Linked DNA regions of Schizosaccharomyces pombe. The protein of the gene in region 2 interacts with the protein of the main gene of each other region in a biochemical or structural test. Each region holds a gene or a part of one and is shown on either strand. Other genes may lie near its edges.

What was found.
Region 1: the proteins of orc2 (region 2) and orc5 form a complex in vitro, tested with the Schizosaccharomyces pombe proteins (4 studies listed by BioGRID).
Region 3: the proteins of orc2 (region 2) and orc4 form a complex in vitro, tested with the Schizosaccharomyces pombe proteins (5 studies listed by BioGRID).
Region 4: the proteins of orc2 (region 2) and orc6 form a complex in vitro, tested with the Schizosaccharomyces pombe proteins (3 studies listed by BioGRID).

Annotation. Positions count from the first base shown.
Region 1 is NC_003423.3:951,671-956,432, forward strand, and holds orc5 (origin recognition complex subunit Orc5), read right to left. Parts: upstream 2,648-4,762; 5' UTR 2,607-2,647; coding exon 2,250-2,606; exon of another isoform or gene 2,197-2,249; coding exon 2,122-2,196; exon of another isoform or gene 2,082-2,121; coding exon 1,146-2,081; 3' UTR 664-1,145; downstream 1-663. Other genes in the region: protein sds23, read left to right, coding at 1-437; Pex16 family peroxisome import protein, read right to left, coding at 3,531-3,544, 3,587-3,699, 3,765-4,322, 4,367-4,631, 4,674-4,762. UniProt on the Schizosaccharomyces pombe protein: Component of the origin recognition complex (ORC) that binds origins of replication. It has a role in both chromosomal replication and mating type transcriptional silencing.
Region 2 is NC_003423.3:2,779,609-2,784,357, reverse strand, and holds orc2 (origin recognition complex subunit Orc2), read right to left. Parts: upstream 2,323-4,749; 5' UTR 2,293-2,322; coding exon 793-2,292; 3' UTR 682-792; downstream 1-681. Other genes in the region: inositol phosphosphingolipid phospholipase C Css1, read left to right, coding at 1-81; SPOM_SPBC685.08 (uncharacterized protein), read right to left, coding at 2,703-2,993, 3,040-3,042; rpl2701 (60S ribosomal protein L27), read left to right, coding at 3,705-3,731, 3,776-4,159; rps001 (40S ribosomal protein uS2), read right to left, coding at 4,502-4,749.
Region 3 is NC_003423.3:2,023,022-2,029,304, reverse strand, and holds orc4 (origin recognition complex subunit Orc4), read right to left. Parts: upstream 3,918-6,283; 5' UTR 3,763-3,917; coding exon 844-3,762; 3' UTR 629-843; downstream 1-628. Other genes in the region: RNA polymerase II transcription elongation factor Ell1, read left to right, coding at 1-46; FRG1 family mRNA-processing protein, read right to left, coding at 4,416-4,536, 4,608-5,066, 5,127-5,246, 5,319-5,356. UniProt on the Schizosaccharomyces pombe protein: Component of the origin recognition complex (ORC) that binds origins of replication. It has a role in both chromosomal replication and mating type transcriptional silencing.
Region 4 is NC_003423.3:2,965,268-2,969,259, forward strand, and holds orc6 (origin recognition complex subunit Orc6), read left to right. Parts: upstream 1-1,985; 5' UTR 1,986-2,087; coding exon 2,088-2,269; exon of another isoform or gene 2,270-2,326; intron 2,327-2,327; coding exon 2,328-2,940; 3' UTR 2,941-2,995; downstream 2,996-3,992. Other genes in the region: iss9 (nuclear export factor), read right to left, coding at 1-359, 428-557, 608-1,255; protein ess1, read right to left, coding at 3,055-3,528. UniProt on the Schizosaccharomyces pombe protein: Component of the origin recognition complex (ORC) that binds origins of replication. It has a role in both chromosomal replication and mating type transcriptional silencing.

The DNA.
Region 1 (4,762 bases), 1.8 Mb from region 2:
CACGTTCTTCTTCTGTCTATTTGTTAAACAAATCATGTGCTCACTTTTTGAGTGTCATTAAAAGCGAACAGGGTATCCGCGCTGGTAAGGATAGTGCTCCTGCTTTTAACATCTATGAATCCTCTACTTTTGCTTTTACGTTGGCTAAGTTGGTGGCTACCCAATGTCATCGTCTTTGGCTTGTGCAGTCACCTTCCTGCCCTCCTTCCCCAAAAAATAACGCACATCTTTCCCCTGGATCCATGGGTGGTGTTAAGGTCAATCAATTGTTGGGCGTTGTTAGCTTAACTGATATCATATCTGTTTTATATGCTCACATGAAAGGCACTCTTCCACCCGCTCCCCATAGTGCTCCTTCGCTTAGACATGGACGTCGAGGAAGCACAAGCAGCCATCGTAGCCATAGCAAAGCTAGTGTAGATACACAACGTCGGTGATGCTAAATATTTGATGATTTGAAACACCCTTTTTTCTTTTTCTCATTTGAACCTCCGTTTTATTTCATCTTTTACTGTTACCTCTAACATTCCATATTTCATGAACGGGTTTTGATACTTATTTTTAATCATCTTTAAATGGATAAGATTTTGGTTAAATCTCCAATGATTTCTTATTAACCATTAAAAATATACTTTTACTTATGTTTTGACGTTAACTGACGGACGCTTTTCTTTATACATATGTTCTTATTAATGAATTGTCTCCCGTTGTTGATTTACACGGCAGCAGAGTAGCTCTTTCAGAGGGTTAACTTTTATATCAGAGTTATGATTGAAACTTTGCCTCTTGATATATATTATGTATCCATCTTAGCAGCACATTACTTTATTTTTTTGTCAAGAGTGTTTTCGGCGCTAGTTTTTGCTTTTTACAGCTTTGCCAACTTCCATAATGTTAAATACGTAACAGTTTACACAGAATCACAGAGGCGTAATCGAATTGTTTGTAGTGTACATTTTCTTTTATTTTCCAGAAGTAACAAAAAAAAATATGTTTTTTAAGTTTTGGGCCCTTTAAACAGTAAAATAACATGTTATGGGGAGATAGAATGGATGTTCATATAGTTCTGTATAAATTAATGAATTGTGACAGAACTACGATATTCAAAATTTCAGTAATGCAATAAAATAAACCATAATACTAAGCTATCCCGCCAAATAACTATCGAGAGGAAACGAAAGTGAATCTGCGATTTTTAATACATATTCGCGAGAGACATTGACAATGTATCTAGGGCTATCCAAAGAGCGAAGCACACCTTTGGAAGCCGAAAGTATCATTTTTAAGGAGGCGAGTGTAGCTATTTGAACAAAAACATCAGCGGTCAGAACTTTCTCTACCGGGGAAGAAATGGCATAATAAATAGCAATCAACCTTTCTACTTCAAAAGGTTTAGGTCCTAATGTAAGTTGGGATATTTTTACAGCAGACCGGCCTTTGCTCCCAGCGGTTCTTGGTATTTTGGAAAATAAAACCCCTTCATCTTGAATTTGTTTACGTTTTCTTCCACGTCGTTTCGAAGTTTTAGAAAATGAAAAAAATTGGGCGTCTAACCGGCTTGGATTATAAGATGCTAGGAATGCAGAAACGAGTAAATATTTGGAAACGAGCGACAAGTTAATAGATTTGGAATCAAGAAGATTTTTTATTTCAGTCGGGTTGATTATGTGAAGTCTTTTAGTAACCGTAGCATCTGACACTAAAAAGTTTTTAGCCAGCTTGTGAAGTTGAGCATAATCAGCAGGATGTATGTCTCCTTCAACTATAGGTTGAATGAACTTTGGCCAATATCTATCCAAAACACTACGAAAAGACCTATAGTCATTTAAGCACTGCACTCCAAAAACACTCCAAAGAAACGAGCAATATTGCATCCAGACGCTGAGCTCAATTTCGTCTTCAAAAACACTATCGCCAGATCTATCCAAAAAATCTAAATTAGGAGGTGTTTTTTGGCATATCTCTAATATTTCCGCTTGGGTATATTGTGGGAAAAAAATCACTGCAATAGACAATGTTCCCAAGTATTGAGCAGGGTGAGAATGAAGTACAAAAATGATTGACAGATTGGGAATGTTTGCCTAAAATAGTTAATCAGTGGGTCTGTAAATATTTACTTACAACAATCGGAAGCTGAGCTAATTGTGAGAATAGAATAGTAGAAGCCTCAGCGAAATCATCTATTTGATCCAGCACCTATAACTCATATTAGTATTTAAGAGTAATAAAATAGGAGAGGAACTAAGTACCAAAAATGTATGATAGTCCCTTTTGGACATTGCCTGTTCCAGTAAATAAATAAATCCACTGATATTAATGCCTTTTTTTAATGCTATATCTTTGTCAACACCGACTTTTATAAGGATCCGGTACCAGAAATGAGCGACTGTAAAACAGTCTTGCAAATTAATCCAAACATTTTCTTCTTTTGACAAATCAAAAGCGGTCCGCAATAAAAAAGTCTTTGCTGTACTAGCAACTCCGTAAAGCACAATGCTTGGAACACGACAATCCTTATTAAAAAGTAAACATGAAAGTTTCTTTATTTGATCTTCCCTGCAAAAGACATTCTTTTTTAATTCGTCTTCCAACTGATACAAATGCATTTCATGGCAATATGCTTATGCTTTGGCATATGGTGTCGTGCAGTGAAACATTCATCGCTCGAAGCAAAAACTAGTGGACTAATTTATACAAATAAACGAAAGGTAATTAATGGAAAACGAAGAATAATATTCGTACATTTCAAATACAATTTAAACTTTGGAATTATTGAAATCTTAATTGATTGTTTACTATAAGCGTTGTACTTGGTTCAAGGTGTATTTTATTGAGAAGCCTTGTCGTAACAAAATGTGCTTAAACAGTTATTCTAAAATAGAATTATAAAATTTTATTTTTTGTAATATATTTGATTAATAGTAGTAAAGAACAGAAGTTCGTTTCGCTTGAGTTATTAGAAGTTTTCTTTCTCCTAGCTAATTCACTTTCAATACTAACTTCTTCACCGCTAATGCATAGCCAAAATTATTTTTGAATAAATGGCCTAGTGCGGAGTACGTAGAATTAAATATTGCTTAGATTTAATTTGTAATCTAGCCGTTAACTGTTTTAAGTATGTTATTAAAAAAATCAAAATGCATTTTTTAGTAATTGATATGAACTCATCATAATATCCGAATTTCAGTGTATTACATCTTTTCCTTTGTCTGAATTTAACACAGCATTCTTTAGTTGTGAAATTTAAAGTCTTATTTAAACCTTACATATCTGCACCGCAGATTTCAGATACTGATTGACTCATGTATGGATAACGTTGCTAATCTTCGTAGCATGCAATGTTGAAGCTTTTGCTTTATTTTCGATAAAAGTGTACTGAGTTTTATAGAAGAATGAAGACTAATCATCAAAGCAACAAAAGACGTAGTAGATAAATGAAATACTAACAATACTGAAATCAAGAGAGAGAAAAACACCGAGTTAAATAAATAAGAAAAGGATTTCTATAGGTTCTGGTCATCAAGGCTTCCTTAATAGTTTCTAACTGAATGAAAGGTTAGTAGCAGTAAAAATATCAATATCATACCAGAGGATATATAATTTTCGAGACTTTTTTGTCTTTCCTCAACTGAAAGAAGTAGATATTTACCAAAAACGGGTATTGAATTAACCCAGCTTAGGGAACGATTTATCCAGTGTCTAAATTAGTTAGTGAGTTGAAAAACGACATTTTGTTATAAAAACCTTTCAAATAAATTACATACTTGGTAAACTCATCATAAAATCGTCCTTGAGTAAACGCCCAAACCACAAAATGCTGAAACTGACTTTGATTTGTCCGGCGTTCTAGTCCAAACCCCTGGCGACTAGAAGTCGCTGATTCACATCTTCGATCAATTAATTGAGAAATAACTTCAAAAACAAACGCTACAATCCAAGGCCCCCAAGGTCGAACTTTAAGAGAACTCGATTTTTGCTTTCTTTTCCAATGCCACATAAACAACATATAGATAAGCGGACGACAAACTTTAATAAAATTAGAAAAAATCCGTAGATTGGGAAGTCTTTTTGTAAAAATCTCATCTGGTAGAATTGAAGAAAGACGTGGAGTTCGGTTTTGCAAGAAGTCAAGCGATGAATTGACTGTATTAAGTCTGGGAACAACTTTCTTGGAGTTTTTTAACACAACAGCACTTCCTGAATTAGAGTATTTCTTGTGAAGATGAATGAAAGTCTTTACATTGAAATCGCGCTGCAATACAGGATTAGAGAGCGGAAGATCACCTCCAGTAGTCCACATAATGTGAACCCGAAGTAAAAATCTAATATTTGTTAACAATTTTAATCGAAAAGTAGATTTCCGTACTTGACTGATTCCAAGAATAGGACAGAATCATACTGTCTTGATGGATTGTATTTAGAAATTACAAGCTCGATGGGGAACGTCGATATGTTTAGAAAGTATAGAAGTTCCGATACTTTTTCGAAGGAAGGATTCTTTTTTCTGAAATATTCTAAGTACTGAGTACGTTCACTTTTCAAAATTGCTTGCTCTGTTTTTGGTAACTCAGCAATTTTACGAAACAGTAAGCCAGTATGGAATTGATGAAGTAGTAGTAAAATAGATGTGACTAAACAAAAGGTTAGATTACAACAAATAGCTAAATCCATACTTGTCTGTGATTTAAGTTGATCATCACGAAATTCCGCTGGCAACAAATAAGCTGCATAGCTAAGCAATCTTTCTATTTCAGTAACTTTA
Region 2 (4,749 bases):
TTTGTTGCTGAACTTAAGGAACAGAAATTACTTTGCAAACAGTATCTTGTGGACCATCCGTTACCCTTTGCTAAATCATAAATTTACCGATTGCTGTTAATATGCCTTCTTTATCCCGCTTTATCCCACATTGTTAATTTAAAATTTCCCATCATTTTTATCTAAGCTTTTTATCACAGCTTTGCATGCTGAGGCTAGCGACTCCTAATTGTTTTTTTTTAATTATTTTTACAAACAACCTTTGATAATTTCTGTGTTATTTTTTTAAAGTTTGGTTTTGGTAATATTTGACTCAAACCAGTTGTTTTTCATTTAGGTATACTTATAAATGGTCATTGTTTTTAAACTCGTTGTCTTTGTAAACGCGTATTTACAAAAAGCGACTTCGGATTTAGAGGGATGAAATCAATATTATTTAAAGATTCTGTTCGTTTGGTGAACAGATTACTGTAATTACAAATGATTGAGATTGTACTAGCTTCATGAAGAACGATATATGGTTCTTGTTCTTTGAATTTAAGTATTTACAATGCTGATACTAGGATTATTAGAGATGGTTAGATATAAGATGTGAAATCCTAAAACTATACTGTATTCAATTACTATGTTAAATATCGATAATGAATTGCTTTCGAAATACTACATACAATTGCACCAATGTGCATAATTGATAAAAAAAAATAGTAAATTTTTAACAAACAATTATTATTATGGATCGTGAAATATCTATTTACAAAGAAATACATAAATTATACTCTAATGTTCCGTAACCTAGTCTAAAAGGGTCCTATTTTATACGTCTTCCATCATATCCTCCAACAAAATTTCAAGGAGATTTTTGGGATATGGTACCCATAAAATCTCAGAATTTGATACATCTCTTTTTGATTCGATAATGTTATGGTCAAAAAATTCTGTGAGTTGACTTCGAAAATTGGGTTCATTACTGCAAAGGAATTCAGCGCTACATTTTTGAAAGAAAGAACGATATTCAATACCGACTTTTTCACCTTGGCGGGCATCAAAATCTTGAGTATCCATCATGCGTTCGAGTTGGTGAATTAGAAGGAACTTAAATATACCGCGAGAATTGGCGGGCAAAGAATAGAGAACGTGCTTTATAGCTTTCTCTTTATTAGACACATTCGCTCTTCCGATACCTAAAGAATTTTCATATGTAGTCTCATTATAATACCGTGCAAAGGTAGTCGCATCGTGCATGACAAAATTAAACGAAGACTCTAGAGATGTATCCCATAAAAGTGCAAAATTTACATGATCCACAGAAGCAATGAAATACACATTTTTTGAAGAAGCTATGGCCGCCAAAGCAGATTGAAATCGTTCGTCAATTAGACTTTCACCATCGATATTATGAACCAGAAACACGATTTTTCCTAACGAAAAAGAGGGAGAATTGATAATACTCAAAGATTGAATTAACATATCAGATACAGACGCAGCAGGTGTGACCTCTAAAAATTCAAGAAAGGATGAAAGAACATTTTTTAACTGTAACTGAGGGAAGTAGCCTTTTACGACAAAAATGGGGAAACAAGGAAGTTTTTTTTCAACAAAAGAAGATAGAAAATGCTCTTTAGAACCAAACCCGTAAAACAGTAAATTAAAATTATTCACAAGTTCAAAATACCATTGATGAAAATTACGAGACTGAAAATGAACTAGAGTTTGAGTGTGCTGCTCGGTTTCAGTACAGATTTCCTTTACAGTATCTAGGTATACTTGATTATCCAAAACAGGCAACTGAGATAAAGTGTTGCTCGAAGTTTTTCGCTGAGAAAATTTATCAAAGTATTCATCAAACCCCGTGCCATGACTCCTCGCTTCAAAGCCGTTTGATTGAGATAAGCCGGCTTCTCTACTTTCAGAAAACTCATGGCTTTCAAGAGATGGCGAGGCAGGTGTGGAAGAACGACTTCTGTTATCTTCTTTTCCTAGCTTCTCCACGGAAATACCTTGGGGAGATTGATTAATTCCTTCCATGCTTTCATCCTCAAGCATCACAGATGGTGAAAGAGGTTCGGCCTCTAAAGAATAGAGCGGAACATCAAGTAGTGAATTCGAACCAACATTATCATCAAATTCTCCCAATAAATGCCTTTCAATCTCAATTCTACCTCGCCGCCTTTTAGCTGAACGGTCTTTGGTATATGCACCCTTAGCTTTTATAATTCGATGTCCTGGTGTTCGAGGAGTAACAACTTCTGGTGTTAATGTAGAAGGATCTTCAAGAACTCCTTTTTTAGGCGTTGAAGATACGTTTTCAACCATTTTTAAGTCATTGCTTTCATGACTGTTAGCAAAGACAAGATGTGCGACTCTTGTAAGAGAGACACGAAGAAAATGATAGCGTTCTCGTACGTGCTCGTTTATTAGCATTTTAGGATACGTTCTACTTCGTAAAATGAATCCATACTAGCAAATAAATGAAATGGATTAAAATTCTCGAAAATATGATCAGAAAAAATGTATTATTTTTGTTCGAATGACGATTCGGGATTAAAAGTATTCCATAGCTTGGGAAACATGTCTTTTGGTGATTGTAACAAAGAGCAGAAGAAATATTATCGAAATAATACTAGCACTATCTGGTAGTCTCAGGTTAATAAATAGTTTTTATAACACTTTGAGTGTGGAAACATGTATGCCAATTGATAGATAGCTGATGAATGAAGTGTGTTTTAAGGGGAAATCTCTTCAGACATATCATCATAATCTTTAGGCTTTTCCACTAGTAGTGGTTCTTCTCCTTCTGCAAATGCATATTCAGTGTTATTAGTGATGATGGTTTTTGAAAGTGCATCATTTTCCATTGCTACCCAGTCATTTTGCTCAAAAGATCCAATTCTTAGAATCGAATCTGGAGGTAAGTTAAGCGCGCTTTTTAAAAGCTTTACTGCATCGTAAACGGACAGGCCTGGTTGAACTTCTAGCATAACAGTTAACTTTTCACGCTTAAACTTCACAAGCACCTTGAGGAACCTAGTTAATTAAATTTTTTAAAACTAAAATACGTACCATGGTAAATATCAACTATTCAAGTAAGGAAAACAGAAAAACAAATTAACTTGAAGTTGTGGAAAGGACGATGCTCATTCTCAACTTCGTTGAGCGCTTTGAGTTTTCGAAAGCTACGGAGCAAACGGACTAGGATATTGAGAAGCTAGTTCCAGATATTGTTAAAAAATCTATGAAATAATTTAAGTTATTTTGTTTAATATTCAAGATTTATTGGTTAAAATATAGAAGCTGTTTTCGCTCAAGCAAAGTATGTATGTAATTATGTAGATAAAACCTCCTTATTATAGTATTTCTAGTGTTTTAAGAATCCCATATCGGTACCGAACTCTGTTAATACGGCCTTTCCATATGCAAGTATAAGTATTCTCAGAAATTTATTTTCTCTTTAAAATAAACATAAATGACTTTATTTCTATCAATGTATCAGTGAGAACTAAACATCCAATATTTATTGTATTAGAGAGGGCTGAATTTTGAAGCTTCGCTATATTCGGTAAATAGAATAAGAAAGTGTTGTTATTGTTACTGAATATTGATTTACGAAACTCTTTTTAATCGGGTTCATCGCAGTGCTGCCTACATTGCGCAAACATATTAAAAGCAGTCACAAAGTTTCGTGCTGTCGAGAAATCGTCCACCTATGATTGTCCTACAACACAACAATGGTGAAGATTCTCAAGCCAGGAAAGGTATGATTTACTAAGTAGTACGCTTTACTAACATTTCAAAATAGGTTGCTCTTATCACAAGAGGCCGTTTTGCGGGTAAGAAGGTTGTAATCCTTCAAGCCATCGACCAAGGCTCAAAGTCCCATCCCTTTGGACACGCCGTCGTTGCTGGTGTCGAGCGCTACCCTTTAAAGGTCACCAAATCTATGGGTGCCAAGCGCATTGCTAGGCGTTCTAGAGTCAAGCCTTTTATCAAGGTTGTCAACTACAACCACTTGATGCCTACTCGTTATGCTCTTGAACTCGACAACCTTAAGGGCCTTATCACTGCTGACACCTTCAAGGAGCCCACTCAACGCTCAGCTGCTAGAAAGACTGTCAAAAAGACTTTCGAAGAGAAGTACCAATCCGGAAAGTCTGCCTGGTTCTTCACTCCTTTGAGATTCTAATTTTCGTACTCTCAAATAAAAGTTCAAGTATTCAGCATCTTCAGCTTAGTAGTTGATTCCTTAAAGTATGATATTAATTTTGTCTCTCATTTGTAAATTTATTTGTAGCGGGTGTTCAGTACAATCGATCCACTGTGTTTTGTCATGCTATGGAGAATATGCGCGGAATTTGCATGAAAACAAATAATACCGAAAAATGTACAAGAATATAGACGGAGTTACTCTACTAATGATTACAAAGTCTACAGTCTAAAAATTTAATTTGAAAAATAAACAACTACTATAATCAATTTTCACTACCCAAACAATGGTATTTTTATTTTAAAAAACTAGAGAAAACATTTATTGAGCCTCAGCGGCAGCAGTCCAGTCACTAGTTTGGGCGGCACCAGTAGTATTCCAGTCACCAGCACCTTCCCAAGTATTCTCACCGACTTGTCCAGCAGTAGCGGCAGCAAGAACATTAGGATCAACAGAGCCAGCAGCACTATCAGTGATCTCGAATTCAGCAGCAGCAACAGCCTCTTCGACTTGAGCTTCCTCGGCAGCGGCAGCAGCAGCTTTCTTAGCTTCCTCTTCACGTTCAACTT
Region 3 (6,283 bases), 760 kb from region 2:
CTGGAAAAATACACTTTACGATGCTTCCTCGGAGCTAGCCCTCTAACTTTTCTCAATAAATTTCCGGTTTTCTTAACACTCAGTTTTATTTCCAATGTTTTATAAAGGTGACGGTTATCTCAGCTTCAATTCAAAATTGTTTCAATACTGTACGGTGCCTACAACGAGTGCAGGCTGTTTTTTCCTGCTTTCGTTAAGGCTAGTGTTTCGTTTAAAAGATAAATTGGTTAAATTCATATTCAATTAGCAGTTTATTGAATATTAGTTTGTTTTTGATTTTATAATGAGAATCTTGTTATTGTGATGCTTTTTTTAAACTTTTATGACATATCTTTAAGTTAGTTAAACTGCGTGAATTCCTTATGTGCTATCACTTTTTTTTGGGCTTAAAAGTACCACTGATGAGTCCTTTCGTTTAATCTAATTTATTTTGTTTTTCTTACCACCTTTCATGAAATATTCCGCCAAAATTTTTTTTCTACATTAGTACAAAGTGACCCTGAAACAAAAACTATCATTAAAATGTTTAGGTATTCATTGATCCGTTGATTACTGATTTACCTTCATAAGTCATCTAATATAAATATTTGGAGACCAGCTTCTTTCACAGCTTAACCAGCGCTGATAGCAAAAAAGTAAATTCTATTTTCGTTTATCAGAAGCAAATATTTAATCAATTAAAATTAAAACTTTTATTTATCAAATATCGGTAATAACTACAATGTGTAATGGTATATAACCTTCAACACGGTCGTCCTTATTTTTGCCTTTCTTATATTGTTTTATTTAAAAAGGATACAAAGTTAATAAAATACAACAGAAACAAAAAAAATTGCAATTCTTTTATATAACCTCCTTAAGCCAGCGGTAATAATGCGATGGCAAACGTCGATGTTCACGCAAACCTACAGAAACTACATTGATATCCACTTCTGGCTGCCATAGTTGGCATTGTCTAGAAAGGGCACCACTAACATTAGTAGAAGGGTGAACCGGTATAATCAATCCTATAGACCCTAAAGTTTCCCATGCTTCCAAAGCAACATCCCTTCCCCATAATCGACTGCTATGAGCTAGAGCTCCCGATGCTGCGGCATTTATAACGGAAGATTGATGCAGTTGTCGATATTCTTGATAAGCACTATTAAAGTTGCAAGCTGGAATATCCCTAGCTTCAAAGCGAACTGCACAAATCAATAAAGCCAACTCCAACAAACTTAAATTCTTTACAAGTTCAACCTTATGGTCAGAAACTTTGAGACTGATATTGGCGAAGTCTTCATCAGCAAGTAATGGACGATCAGGTGCCATGGAAAGTATGGGAAATAATAAATCAACATACAATAATTTTAAATTTCTGCTTGCAAAATAGTGATGTTGTACCAATTTATGTAAGTGACTTCGTGTATCGGAAAGCAATTCATCCACTCTCTGGTTCCAGCATGTTATTATTTGGTCTTTTCCGCCTTCGTCAGAAACATACAAAACAGATTTTAAAATTTGCTCAAATTCACTAAGCGAAGAAGGTGGTCGCATGGGAATTACCATGTGACTAAACCTACTTTTTACTCGCTTTTCAAGTGATTCAGAACAATCATAGCGAGTAGTCAAGCCTATGATCAGTATCGGGGCTTTCCTCGATTGAGCAATGTCAAACAAGTTATACAAGAGCATTTGCCGTGAATGCTGAACAAACAGGTCAAACTCTTCTAAAACAAATATCACGGCTGCAGACGTTGTCATTACGTCTTCTGCAATTCCCAAATCCACGGGATGAGACAATGTAGCTAACAATTTTGTAAGTGTATCAGAAAAGTTCATTTCTGATTTTAATGCTTCATCAGACTCGATAGATTCAAGTTCAATAGATAATTGTCGCGATATTTCACGCAAAGCTAGTTTGTCATCTGTCTGGTACGTACCATTCAATCTTACGACATAACTTTTTTCATTTATTTCCTGAGCTGCGCGTGATAGTATATCATCCACGAGAACTGATTTTCCAGAACCCCGTGGACCGACAATAATGACAGAATTACCTTCGCCAAGTACTATAGTTTGTCGGACCCATTGATAAAGCTTTGTCTGTTCATCCATATGTCCTACAAGAGGGATATGGCTTTTCCCACACAACCTTGCAGCAATCGTAGATTTAATAGTATGTAACTGTGAGTCAATTTCAGAATATGGGACGTCATTAAATACAGACTCAACGACAGGATTAGGATAAAGTTTATGCTGACTCTTTTTAGGAGAAATAATAGCAACTTCGAAATTAGGTTTTTTGGGAGGAGGTGTAAATTGAGATTGTCGAAGAAGGGGTAATCTGTCAGATGAAGGAAGTAGTGGAGAAACTGAATTGGGTGATGAAGATTCGGATTGCGGAGTTGCTGAAGAGGAGTGAACAGAGGAATCGGTTAAACCAGGTGTGATATTACGAATTTCCGCATTCTCTTGACGCTTTTTCGGTGGTCGTCCACGTTTTCTAGGAAGCAACGGAGCTGATTCTCGCTGTTGATTATTAAGGAACTGTTGATTATTAGGAGATGTAATAGCAAAATGTTTAAGTGACAACGCGTCTGAGTCATGAAGCATATCCTCATGTTTTCTAGTAAAGGCGCTTAAAGGTACAATTCCACTAGCTATTTTTGGAGGTCTACCACGCTTTCTTTTAAAAAGGGATTGTGATTTTGAATCTAAAGGCAAGCCACTCGGTCTTTCAAGGCGAGGTCTTCCTCTACCTCGTTTGGGTCTATTTTCATCTATTTTATTTTCAGTACTTGTCCCAAAAAGTATCTTGGGCTTATTTAAAGGAGGTCGTCCACGTTTCCGCTTTACTGGGACGTCTGCAGTAGAAAATAAAGGTTGATCTGTGACTACAACTTCCTTCCGTATTTCAGATTGTGGATTCAATGAATAGAATTCAGAAGAAGATTGTTCATTTTCTGGATTCAACTGTGAATGAGTATGTAGATTTGTACCTGTCGATTCAACCGTTACATTATTCGAAATTGGAGTATTTGCAATCTTCTGTTCAGATCGATGTAAAGGTGGACGCCCGCGCCCTCTTTTCGCAGGTAATACTACCAAAGGAGAAAGCCCATTTTGACTTGAGCTCCCTTCTTCTGGTTTTATTTTTCGAGGTCGTCCACGCCCTCTCTTTGGCTTCAGCTCACTTAAATTGGCATGCCCTTCGGCAAAACCTTCTATGATATTCGGCTCATCTAACCCCATCTGTAGATTATTTTGAGTTGTTCCCTCATCTACAGACGGTTGCACTACTGGGAGAGGATGTAAACGAGGACGTCCTCTACCTCTTTTAGGCTTTAAGGGATCATCTAGTTTTGTGGAAGGAGAAGAACTTTTTATTTTTGGAGGTCTGCCACGCTTCCGTTTGATTATAGGCTCCGATCCTTCGTCAATTGGTTTTGGTGGATATTTTCGAGGTCTTCCACGTCTGCGAGGAGCTTCATTGAGACGCAAAGGTGAAGGTGAAGGCGGAGCTAAAGTCGTAGTTGAAATATTATTATCCTGAAATAAAGTGACAGCGGCAATATCTTGCAATTTTGCTTGAGAGGCAGTTAATCCATTATTTGCATCATCATTCGTAGAATTGGGATACTGCTGATCATCATTACCACTTGATAAATTTTGAACATTTGAGGTCTCATTAGTTATGTTTGTCTGGTATTCATTTTCCTTATTTTCATAGATTGCTTCTGTGTCCAAATTCCCAAGATTTGTGAATGGGGATGAGCTCATATTAAAAACTTGAAGATGCACATCCCTATGGTTTTTATACACTGTAAAAATAATGATCCTCTAAATTTAGCCTTTTTATTAACAAATGCAATTAATTGGTCTCTTTTCTAATTATTTTTTTCAATTTCCTCTTGACTTGACAGATGCAGGGTGTTACTTCGATTCTTGGTAAAGGTGAGCAGTAAGATTGGCGTACAGCCTTAAGGACAGGGCCAGTATAGAAATATATTTTTGAAGCTGAAATAATGACTAGGTAATAGTAGTAATAATCTAAAACTATTTTAATCTTTTTCAAGCGATGCTGATGACTATAATTATTTACTTGTTGCATTTATTTGTAAAACCATACATGTATGAAGGGAATGAATTTCAACAGATTCATTAAATATTCATTTTTTATTAAAAAAAAATAGTTCGTTAAAATTAAGGAATGAAGTAAAACACTTCACTTTTGAAATGAGTAATTACCATAAAGCTTTGTAAATTCATACATAAAAGTAGTGAATAGCTGAAAGGAGTCTCAATAGCTATACAAGGTGCCTAAAATTCAAGAGAAAAAATCAAATCTGTTTTTGCTAGCTTTGGTCCAGCAGGTAATCGTACATTAATCAGTAAGTCAAGATATTAATGGTTTATCAAGAATATCCGAAAAATTAACCATATTTGTCGCTCCTTGAAGATACTCGTAAATCTAGTAATGCTTCATGAAGAACTCCTTCCTTAAACGCTTTTTTGAGGGTCTTTTTTTCATCGGTAGAAAGTTTTCTTCCAGCCCTGTAAAATTACAAAGTTAGAATGACGAAAGTAGAAGGGAAACCCCAATAAAATAGAATAGCATAACTTACATAGATTCTAATTGTCTGGAATGTATGGTTGGGTTGTCAAATAAAGAAGACTTGTTTTTCTTTAGGAAACGAGTTTGTACTCGAATTCTCCATTTGGCTTCAGGAATGACAGTGTCAGAGACACATGCAATGGCCTGATCTTGTTTTTCTCTACTTAATGTTAAATATTTTTTCGTTGATACACTTTTCCAAGCCCAAAATCCTGAGCCCAGATTCTCCGCTATCCATTGTTCCTGTGATCCTACCGCCTCTTGCGTACAATACAAGTCTCCAGACTTACTACATGACATGTATTTACCTAAACAGCTTTTCAATAGTATAGTATTGTTCAGTATGGATAACAAAAACACCTGGCGCGTCAATTCTGGCTCTAGCGAAACTTTGTCGAGGGGAAGAAGAACGCAACTTTCTTTAACTTCTTCAATTCCAAGAGATACACCAGCATCATCGTCTATTTTACTACATAAAGTTGTAAGTAAATTAGAAAAAAAGGTATAAGAATATTGAAGTTAAGCTTACTATATAACCGCTGGACCCTCAAGCTCATTTAGCTCGTTTGCGTCCGTCCAAAAAGGATCGTTTTCAGCTGATTCTAGAGAAGATTGAAGTGATTTTGTGTTCTTTTTTTTCTTCTTTTGACTGATTTCTTGTTAGTGATGAACAATATAATATGAATTACCACATTCGAGCAGTTATTTCATTTTATCTTACATCTTTTTGTCTCCCTTGAAAGTTAATCGCATAGACATTTTACCATCAGTAAATTACCAAGAATTTAAACGATTAAAAATCCTTAAAAATGATAATTGTTAATAATGGATAATGACTAAATATTTATGCGTGGTTTTCGAGGAAAAAGCAAGTAGTGGGAGTAGTGTTAAGGATTTGAACAGACCAGATGCTTCTTCGTGCTGAAATCCAATATGTTCTGAGGAATAGGCAAGGTACTCTTAGCAAAACAAAAGAGGTTCAAACGTTTTTAATAAGCAAGGAAATGCTTTATATGAATAGAAATGTTCTGTTGCTCACAATGTGACTTTTGTGACCCATGCTAATGTTGGTTTGTAAAATGGATGATTTGCATAACATTCTAATGGCTTGAGAAAGAAAAAAAATGTGCTTAATTGAATGATAATTTTGAATATAGATGAGAGAAGAAGTATGCACCGAAGACTAGCATTGTTCAATACCAAAAACATTCGTTGAAGGACGAGTCATATTCCAAAAAAGGAAGTCCATTGATGACAATAAGAATTTTTTTTTGCTTATTCAGTTGAAAGCTTACAAAAGATGAGCACTGTTTCAATTTACTTATTACTATGTGAATAAGTGTAGCCATAATACCTGCATATTAAAAACAGCACAAAAGTGGATGAAAATATTTGAGTGATAAAAAAACAATAGTATTAATTTTGTTATTTAATCTATTAACTTGATTATTGTTGTACAAATGAACTTGGAAATTCCAAAACATTCAAAAAAAAAAAAAAAAAAAAAAAAAAAACTAACTCGTTAGTTAATAAGGTTATTTTTTAACGACTTTTACATTCATCTAAACCAAATGCTGAAACATGAAAATTTTAATGTTTGTAATAAAATAAATATTTTTAAAAAATAAATAATAAATATAAGAATTTATTTTTATCTAATATACTAACCATATGCGTAATATGTTA
Region 4 (3,992 bases), 190 kb from region 2:
GAATCTATCCGTGCTTTCTTTCATCAGTATGCGATTGGGATCTTTTGAATCGTATACAGCATTACAACTCCTAAAAAAGTTTACACAATCTTCCATTTCTTCAAATGCTAGTGTGTTAGCCAAAAATTCCATTGTAAGAGAAGGGCGATATGCTTTGCACATCATTATCATCGCCTGCACTCGTTCTCTCTCAATAAAAAGATCCATCAAATAACCTCCCATGTTGGGAGCGACTAAATATAGATGGAAAAATTTATAGTAATCGCCAGTAGCCATCGCCGAACGGACTTCTAATGCATGTGTAACAGCAGCGTTTGTTTTGTCTTCTTCTTTTAGATTGGCGAGAAGGCTATTCATTTCTATAAATTGTTAATAATTTGAATTCAAAAGATATATTCTTTTAAGCAGTAAGCCGTAATTAACTTACCAGATCGATTTTTAGTGAAGAGCATATACAGAATACGATATGCTAAAAATTCCTTAGTATTCCCTGGTATACCAAAACTGTAAAGATGAAATAATTGAGTTTGACATTGGTTATACTCGCCAACATCACCCTAGTCGAACGTTAGAAGAAGAAATGATATTTTAAAGTAATTAACCGTACCTTTTCAAGAGCTATACGAGCATGTATTTCGTAAACTAATACAGAAAACTCATTTTGAATCCTTTGCACAGTTAAATCCTGTCTTAAACTTTTAAATTGATCGCATATATATGCATAGTTTTTCTCTTCTTTCCATTTCTTCTTTAAAAGTTCGAGAGTTTGCTTAAGAACTGGAAGGGGTCGAACAGTATCCGGATCAGGAGCCGAAGTTAATCGCAAATACCTTTTCTCTAATTCTGTGGACCGTCCTATAATAGCACCATTCTCCGGGTTGACTTTTAGCTCTTCAGATTTAGCGTTATTTTGAGAACGAGAACCATTTTCAAACCTTCTTCTTCTTTTTTCTTTCTTATCCACTTCATCTTCTTCACTTAAAAGTGAAAATTGATTTCCAGAAACAGGCTTCTCAACCTTTCTTTTTTTATCTTCGATGATTGTATTTTGAGCATTTGTCAGTTTCCTTAGGGATTCTAAATTCATAGAAGACCAATCAACATTCCATATGTTTCCCATTTCGTATTGACGAGAAATTAGCAATTTTACTTCATCCTCTAATTCTGGCTGGCTGTTTTCCTCAGCGTCTTGGATGCATCTACCAATAAATTCTTTCAAAGAGTCCGGCCAAGGGCTATGATGTTCTTTTTTCATATTTAATATTTTTCATTGAGCTATATGATTAATGCTAAAGTTAAGTACTTTTCTCAACTTCCTCAATTGCTAAAGTGGTGAGTACCGAGATTGTATGAGAAGTGCGAGTCCGTCAGCTTAACCCTGTCAGTAACGTTGTAAGTCGATTTCATTATCCAACCTTTCAATCAATAAGGATTAATTTATTACTATTCAGTTGATCGTTCATCATTTTTTCCTTTAAAAATTTAAAAAGTCATCAAATAATTCAACGGTTCCACCTAAACTTGTTTGTTCGCTTAAAATTTATGAAACCAACATGGAAAGTAGTTAATATTAACTCACGCTATTCACGCATATTTTATTCTGTATGCCTCATATAGCCTTGATTAAACTACTAAAAGAGAGTAATATACCGAATTATCAAGCCTAAAACACTACCTCCCAATAAAGCAATCGTAATTCATTATTAAATAAAAAAAAATTTGAAGACTGCTTCGAAAGTTTTGTAGTAATATCTTGAAGAATGTAGGTCTAAATTCTAAGCTTTTGGTGACATTATTTAAGATAACTAGCAACCGGAATGATTAAGCAAGAGTCATATTAAATAAGTACGGAATATAAACACCAAATTCAGTGGTGCATCAAGTAGATAGATTTTATATTTTTGAAACAGCTGGTAGTATTAGCAGCATTAAAAACATCGTTTAAATGTCTCTGTATTAAACACCATATTGACATAAAACAAACTAAGCGTTCACCACTATTATGATATTATGAATGATTACATGATTTCAATAATTAATAATCAAAATTAAATGATAAAAGTTTTATTAAATATATTCATTTTCTCATGGAGCGACAACAGATTATAGAGTCTTTACGCAGAATAATTCCCACTGAAAGTACAGAATATAATGAACGGCTTATTAGTTTAGGAGAGTCATTTTTGGAATGGTCCAAATATAAACATAATCTAAAGGCGACAGAAGAGTTATGCCGTCCTTATATGGCAGCGCACTTAGCTTGTGAACTGTAAGTAACTTCTGATGTTTAATTACTCTACTTGAACTTGTTCTGACTCTTTAAAAAGATTATCCAATGATTTAAATTTGGAAATAAATTTACTAGCGACTCCAATTCCAAAAAAGAAATACTATAAACTTTTCACTTACTTTCAAGAAATCTTATCTCCATTAACTAAATCCTTAGCAGCTAAAGATGATCTGATGGAAACCATTACTTATCTTTGTACCAAACTAGGGGGCTCAACTGCTATACCTTATGTTAAACAATTGGTGAAAGCCGTTGTTACAAACGACATGCGCATCGAACACAAAAGAGGCATCATAATCGCAGCTTATTTACTAGTATCGGCAAAAGCTTTTGGAAAAGACGAACTTCATATAAATCACACCGAGAGAAGAAAGGCACAGAGTGTTTTACAGGATACAAGTTCTGCATTGCAAATTCAGTATTGGATGCATGTCCTCTCAGAAAGTTGGCAGTATAAAGAAATCCCTTTAAATGGTATAGAGGGTTATGAATCTCAAAAGCAACGGATAAAACCTTGGAGTGGGATAGCAAGCATGATTCAAATAGATTACGAAAAACGACTTCAAAATTATCCAATATGGAAGGCCTGCATTGAAGAAAGAATCCAATATTACAAAAGCCAGCTTGAAAAAGATGGTACTGCTTCATGAATACAATTTACTATATTAATTTTTTTTTGTACATTAAACAACATTTATAAACGGGTACACGATATCTTTAGTGATATATACAAATACATGAGTAAAAAAAAGTTAAATTAGACTCTAAGCTTTACTAATAGACCACTCCAAATTTGTAATAGACACTTCTGAAGAGGCATTTTCATCATAGTCATACCAATCATCCTCTAATACTATTTCGTCAAAAAGTGTATTACTTTCAGCACCATTAGCTATCCATTCTCCCTGAGGAATGAATTCGACTAGTTCACATCCTCTGCATTCCAATACGAGAACTTTTTTCGTCTCTTGAGAATCATTGTAAGGAGAGAATGGCCCCTCTATAACGAAAGAGCAAGTTTTGCGACAATTTTTGCACGTCCATATGAGATTAGCCTCGCCCTTGCTGCCAGGTATGCTGTGAGTCTCGCTGCGGGAGATTTCAATGGCATTGTCGTGAATCTCTCGACAACCACTACATTGGACTTTAAAAGCATAATAGAAGGATTCTTCATCCTTGGGAGCTAAATTTTTCACACCAGTCAACTCAGCGTTTAAGTTAAGAGCAAATTTTCCCATATTGCGAAAGAAACTCTAGGAATGCAGCTTAACAAGCCGTTATATGTAATAAATTGAAAGAACAAGAAGATAGTAGAGTATGGGTATGTTGTTCGAAACGAATCTGTATTTTGGAGGATTAGAGTAATTTGCCTTTTGGTGGATTACGATGGTGAATGAATGAATATGCATGAATAGATACACCTATTTTAAGTCCGTAGAATGTGAGGGGCAGAAAAAAACTCAATTAAAGCATACTTTTCAATGAAATTAAAAAATTACAGAAATGCTAAATTTGAAGTAATTGGATACGTTTTTCTCATTGAAATAATATATTGATGAAGAATATAACATAGTCAATTATTAAATGAGACTTGGCAAAATCTAAATATCAGCTAAGATAGCTGTTCATTTGAGTGAATTACTTGGAGTTTGCTTAGTGACGGATACATAGTTAGTCTAATATAAAAACATGCCAAATATCC